Linked DNA regions of Yarrowia lipolytica. The protein of the gene in region 1 purifies or fractionates together with the protein of each later gene. This does not show direct contact. Links are inferred from orthologs where the notes say so. Each region holds a gene or a part of one and is shown in the gene's direction. Other genes may lie near its edges.

The links.
Region 2: the proteins of YALI1_B18811g (region 1) and YALI1_D25216g purify together in Saccharomyces cerevisiae (affinity purification with mass spectrometry; 3 studies listed by BioGRID, with this or other methods). This does not show direct contact. The link is inferred for Yarrowia lipolytica from reciprocal best matches to the Saccharomyces cerevisiae genes PRE6 and RPN8.

Annotation. Positions count from the first base shown.
Region 1 is NC_090771.1:1,879,932-1,883,426, reverse strand, and holds YALI1_B18811g (uncharacterized protein), read left to right. Parts: upstream 1-1,964; coding exon 1,965-1,999; intron 2,000-2,055; coding exon 2,056-2,075; intron 2,076-2,300; coding exon 2,301-2,995; downstream 2,996-3,495. Other genes in the region: YALI1_B18845g (uncharacterized protein), read left to right, coding at 1-1,456. UniProt on the Saccharomyces cerevisiae protein: The proteasome degrades poly-ubiquitinated proteins in the cytoplasm and in the nucleus. It is essential for the regulated turnover of proteins and for the removal of misfolded proteins.
Region 2 is NC_090773.1:2,519,795-2,523,234, forward strand, and holds YALI1_D25216g (uncharacterized protein), read left to right. Parts: upstream 1-1,788; coding exon 1,789-2,802; downstream 2,803-3,440. Other genes in the region: YALI1_D25208g (uncharacterized protein), read right to left, coding at 1-985. UniProt on the Saccharomyces cerevisiae protein: Acts as a regulatory subunit of the 26S proteasome which is involved in the ATP-dependent degradation of ubiquitinated proteins.

The DNA of each region.
Region 1 (3,495 bases):
TAACCGACATATTGATGTGAGAGACCAGTACACTACCAAGGCTGCTCTTGATGGAGCAAACGCTGCGCTTGTTCTTCTCAAGAATGAGAAGAAGACTCTTCCTCTGAACCCTACCAATATTGGAAACCTCAACATTTTCGGTATTGGTTCTAAAACCGGCCCACTTGGAGCTGTCTGTGGAGAAAATATGCAGTGTAGTGATGGCGCCCTTATTGAGGGATGGGGGTCCGGTTCCGTCTACCCTACCGATTATCAATCTCCTTACGACGCCATTAAGGAGAGAGCCTCCAAGGACAACATCACCATCGGAGGCACTACGCAATCTTGGGGTAACCTGTCGAACGTTGAGATCCTTTCAGCTGCTGCCGACGCCAGTGTCGTCTTTGTTCTTTCCGACTCCGGTGAGAGTACTGGTATTGTTGACGGCAACATTGGGGATCGAAACAACTTGACGCTGTGGCACAATGGAGACGAGGTTGTCAAGGCTGTGGCATCTAAGAACCCCAACACTATCGTTGTTGTTACCACTGTCGGCCCTGTGAACCTCGAAAAGTGGATCGACAACCCAAACGTCACTGCCGTGCTTCTCACTGGACCCGCTGGTGACTTTGGAGGAAGAGCTGCAGCCTCTATTCTCTTCGGCGACATCGCCCCTTCAGGAAAACTCCCTTTCACTATTGCCAAGAATGACACCGACTACATTCCTCTTACTACTAAGATCCCTGAAGACGGCCTTCCTCAAGACTATTTCACTGAGGGTACTCTTTTGGACTACAAACGGTTCGACGAGAACCAGGTGACTCCTAGGTTTGAATTTGGCTACGGTCTGTCTTACTCTAACATTACGGTGGAGAATCTCGAAGCCCGGTATGCTTTCCCTAGCATTCCTGAGTTCTTGCCCACTCCCTTTGCCCCTTCGAACCCCAACAAGCCTAAGAACGCATTTACTCCTCACGCCAATGAGTCCGTCTTCCCCAGTGACATTGATCCTTTGAACAAGTACGTCTATCCATACCTGAACGATACCTCGGAGATCTTCTCTAACGAGACCCATTATCCCTATCCTGAGGGGTACTCCAGTGAGCAGTCCAACAGTACCAACATTAACGGCGGGGCTGTCGGAGGCAACCCTGCTCTGTGGCTCTCTGCAGTCTACATTGTCCACAGCGTGTCTAACTATGGTCCCTATGATACTGGAGTGGTCACCCAGATGTACATTGCCTTCCCTCAGGATAACGACGATCTTAAAACCGCTCCTAGACAGCTTCGAGGATTCGAACGGTCCGAGCTCAAGGTGGGAGAACGGCAGGGAATTCTATACGATGTTCAATGGCGAGATCTCGCGGTCTGGGATGTCAAACTTCAGAGCTGGCGGGTCCAACGAGGAGAGTACAAGGTTTACGTAGGCCACAGTTCGCGAGACTTTGTTCTGACCACCAGCTTCACTCTCAAGTAGGATTCCACTTGAGAGTGAATCACTTACATTATTAACCCTTCAGCTTCTTATTTAGATTCCTTTAGATTCCTTTAGATTCCTTTAGATTCCTTTAGATTCATTAATTAATTCATTAATTGTACTGGTATGTGTACAGTAGCCGAAGTGTATAATTATTTGTAAATTATTGAGGTGATGGAGATTGAATGTCGCCTGAAATGTATACAGACAGCTCCATGTAACAGAACTACACAATTCACCTAAATACATAAATGAGACCTGCCGAGATGAATTGCTTTAATAAGTATAAACATTTTATTGTTTACTCTCTTGAATACTCTCTCCACAGTACAAGTGAACTGGTGGCTATTTTCTGCTTCCAACACTTGAACCTTGCCTCTCTAACTTAGTTGACGATCATGTCCACTATTACTGTAATCAATAGTATGCAGGCTGTATCATCACACATTGAGTTCGCCACCACCAACCACTTCAGCATCAGTCCCTCACCACACATACACAAATCACAATGAGCGGCTACGACAGAGCACTTTCAGTATTCAGGTGAGTATTTGCACACGAAAGTGCCACACACAATTATCGATTGATTACTAACACAGTCCCGACGGACACGTTTTCCGTAAGTTGAACAAGACATCCAGGTGGCACTAACGTTCACAGAGGTGGCAACAGTCACAATCTCGCCCCGACGTCAGCGTCGGTACGACAGGATAGTTGGGTTTCGTTGGATCTGTCCACGTCTACTGCCATTGCGATTCTTGCATCTGTTGTAAGGATGGCGATGGACGGTGGCGATAGACAGACACCCCAACGCCCAACCAGCAAGAGACAATACTAACAACAGAGGTGGAGTACGCCTTGGAGGCTGTTAAGAGAGGAACCGCAGCCGTCGGTGTCAAGGGCAAGGATGTCGTCATTCTGGGATGCGAGAAGCGGTCTGCTCTCAAGCTCCAGGACCCTCGAATCACCCCCTCCAAGATCTGCAAGTTGGACACTCATGTGTCTCTGGCCTTTGCCGGTCTGAACGCCGACGCCCGAATCCTCGTCGACAAGGCCCGAGTTGAGGCTCAGTCTCACCGACTCACAGTTGAAGACCCCGTTTCCGTCGAGTACATCTCCCGATACATTGCTGGTGTTCAGCAGCGATACACCCAGTCAGGTGGTGTACGACCATTCGGTATTTCTACTCTGATTGTTGGATTCGACCCCAACGACAAGGTGCCCAAGCTGTACCAGACAGAGCCCTCTGGAATCTACAACGCGTGGAAAGCCAACGCCATCGGTAAGAGCTCCAAGACTGTACGAGATTTCCTGGAGAAGAACTACGAGGAGGATATGGACAAAGCCGCCACCATTCGGCTGGCTATCAAGAGTCTGCTGGAGGTTGTCCAGACCGGAGCCAAGAACATTGAGATTGCCATCTTGTCTGCCGACAACCCTACCGAGGTTCTGAGCACGGAAACCATTGCTGAGTACGTTGCTGAGATTGAGGAAGAAAAGGAGGCAGAGGCCAAGAAACAGAAGCCTAGCCGGGATTAGGGGGTGCCGGTGTATATGTAGTCAGATGATGTAGTCATAGACCTAATGATGATGTAAATGTTTTAATTTGCGACAAGATGCGTTGAGCGCACCAGTAGAAACAACTATATAATGATACATTGCTAATGATTTAGACGGGTAATTGGATTATCTACGATACTTGCACTGTTTATATTGATTGCTTTTTTTGGAGCTTCAACAGTTGATCTGATTACTATAATTACAAGTATAAACCATCACTCATATTTGTCTAACCATTGTCTAACTAAACTTCTGTCATTCCTCACAAAGAGATACAAGTACAAGTACTTCACACCCATGAAATAGGAGATATTACACACGTTATCAATATATAGAACAGTTAATCATACCCGGTGTTTTAACAACTCCACTTAAATCCTACCTCCAATCCTCTCCCCTCCCCCTCCTATCACTGTCGTGTGATTACCCATCGGTGTATGACGGCGTGCAGAAATGTGAAATTTAAACTCATCACCAAC
Region 2 (3,440 bases), on another chromosome or scaffold:
CCTGTAGAGCCTGCTCCCACTCTTCGTCCGCAGTCAAAGGTCTAGTGGCCTCTTCTGCCTCCTTGAGCTTCTCTTCGTGCTCCTTTCGCGCTTCCTCATCGTATTCGTCCTTGTAATCGATCCACCGTTCCTGGATATCAGAAACTCCACCCACATATCCTCCCTGTCGAGTTGCTTCCGCCCAGAACGAGTCTCCGCCGACCTCGGTACTTCCAAACAAGTAGCCTGTCGCCTTATCTATAGTTGTGAGCAGCTGGATCATGCTCTTTTTGTCCTCCACCGCCAGCACCTCGTAGGCTACCAGACCGAAGTCTTCAACTACCTCTGCAATAGCCTCCGTCAGCTTGGCATACTTGGTCATTCCTGCCTCCTTTTCCAGCAGAGGGAACAAGTGGTGCAAATCCTGCACTTCTGTGTAATAGTCGAGGTTGAAGTCGAGCGTTCCATAGCGGTGGATCAAGTCGATCTTGCTCAGCACGTTCACCTGGGGCAGATCGAGCTGAAGCATAGATCGCAGAGTGAGCAACAAGACTGACACGTAAAGAGATGGTTTGGTGATGTAATGCGAATCGACGAGGTTGACCACGCAGAGACGCGCCTTCTCCTGCTTTTCCAGCCGCTTGAATATCCTCTGCAGCGCGCCATGATGTGTAAACAGCTCCACCTGGCCGGGACAGTCGAACAGCAGGTACTCATTGTCTCCCAGCTCCTTGATCTTGTTAACAAACCCGTCCACATCCGTCTCCACCTCCTCCAAAGCATACATGATGCCTCCATTGGGTCCCAGGTTCTGTTCCGTCATGACATCCTCCAGCTGCACAAAGTCTCGAATGTCCAAAGCGCACGGATACTGGACATGGTCGTTGGCAGGATCCATATTGATCACTGAGACTTTGCGACCAATGGCATTGAGAAACTGGTACATTCCATAGGCGTAGGTCGATTTTCCCGACCCTGGCGGTCCGATAATCAGCTGTCCGAACATGTTGTGTGTGGTGTTGGTTAGTTTGACAAATAATTCTGGCAGTAAGTTTCATGCAGGTTGCGGTAAGGCGGCGTGCAGTGGAGAGTAGTTATCGAAAGGTGGCGAAGGGAAAATGAGGTTGGAAAGACAAGACAGAGGAGACATCGACAAGGTGATTATTTTGAACTTATTTCTGGTCAAATCCGATATCGGGAAGCGTACTTTGAAGACTATCTTATCAGCCCACAGATGGAGGTATGAGAACACTCTGCGTACAGTCCCAACGCAGTATTTTACAGAGCTAGTTTTTGCTACTTTAGTGCATACTGTACATACTGTACTGGTGGTAATTAGAGAAGACAAATGAGCTGTTAGGGACATCGATATTTTGTTCATATGGAGAGTGTTTTTGTCCATATTGTGGGTAAATCAACTCCCCCATAAGTTCTCTTTCGATTAATATAACTTTTACATTGACCGCTACTTTACAAGTTCCCATCACTGTTCACTACCCTCATGGTGGCGTTAGTTGAGTTTACTTGACTTGTTTTTAATATACTTGGCTTATACTTGACATCACCTTTCATTCAGAGCTTAGTAATTATGACCCATCACGACACATCCATCGCAACAGACGACCTGGGCCACTAAATCACACACTCTCCACTCATTTGACACCTCTTATTTTCCCCTCTTTCGCTCCTTTATCCTATCTCAACTACCACCATCCAGGTGGCAACTAACTCTATCTGGTGCGTGCATCACCACTCTCTATTATCACCACATCACATCAACCTCATCACATCCCATCTCTCAACACAGAAATGACGACAGTAGAACCCGCGCAGAACGGATCGGCACCAGCAGTCCCCACGACTCTGGTGTCGTCATTGCCCTACGAGCAAGTGACGGTCGCCCCCCTGGTGCTGCTTTCGGTAGTGGACCATTACAACCGAATCGCCATGAACACAAAAAAGCGGGTGGTCGGCGTGCTTCTGGGCGACAACACCGGCAACACGATCCGAGTCACCAACTCGTACGCCATTCCCTTTGAGGAAGACGACAAGCAGCCCGACGTGTGGTTTCTGGACCACAACTTTGTGGAGAACATGGGCGACATGTTCAAGAAGATCAACGCCAAGGAAAAGCTCATTGGATGGTACCACTCGGGTCCCAATCTGCGAGCCTCCGATCTCCAGATCAACGAGCTCTTCAAGCGATACACCCCCAACCCCCTGCTACTGATTGTCGACATCCAGCCTCAGGAAGTGGGTGTCCCCACCGATGCCTACTTTGCCATTGAGGACATTAAGGACGACGGCAGCGCCACCGACAGAACGTTTGTGCACGTGCCGTCGTCCATTGAGGCCGAGGAGGCCGAGGAGATTGGTGTGGAGCATCTGCTGCGAGATGTGCGAGACGCCGCGGCCGGCAACCTGTCTGTGCGAATCACCAACCAGCTTATGTCCCTGCAATCGCTCCACAAACGGCTTCACGAGATTGCAAACTACCTGCAAAAGGTGGTCGAGGGCCAGTTGCCTCTGAACCATGTGATTCTTGGTAAGCTGCAGGATGTGTTCAACCTGCTGCCCAACGTTTCTGTTTCGTCTTCTGACGACTCTCTCACCGACGCTGCTAAGACCACTGACGAGCGGGCCAAGGCCTTTGCTGTCAAGTCCAACGACGAGCTCATGATTGTCTACCTCTCCACTCTGGTCCGAGCCATCATTGCCTTCCACAACCTGATCGAGAACAAGATCGAGAACAAGGAGAACCTCAAGGAGGAGGAGGATAAGGAGGAGACCAAGGAGGGAGACAAGGACAAGAAGAAGGAGTGATGCATTTGCCATGAGGGGAGGAGGGAGGATTGTTATAATAGCCTCGAGTAGGTGGGCTCTCCATTTTTGCCCAATAGATGATGTATTCATAAAGAGATGTAGGACTGGGACGGGGTGTTGATGTATCTACTGTGATCAGTACAGCCACTGACGTATTTTGTATTATTTATGCTCTCTTTCTCGTTTATAGGGTAAAGAAAAGCTGTTTTTTGATTGTGCTGTCTGAAGTAAGCCAACAAGTATAGTATGTACATACGTTTACGCAAACTTCTTTGAGGGAAGACGCCCAAGAGAACTGAAAAATGTATGAAACGATTATATGATGTATTTAAATCCCTTTTTTCGATTTACAGCCCGATCTGTTCACTTTTTCGCCGGTATTTATCACCTCCGTCATTTCTCGTTCACCCCACAAGGCAATGTTGATCCAAGCTGGGTAGAGTTGGTATTGGTCATCTGAGATGTGGTACCGAGTGGATGGAGTAGTGTAGAAGAAGCTGAAAAAAAGTGCAAAAGTGAAAAAGACGAGGGAAAAAACATATTTTCGTGCGTTTGGCGACCACAGATCTTGTACTTGTGTACTATTTCGCCTCATTTGACTCTCATACTACGCCGCCTCGGCTTCATCCCCAACATGC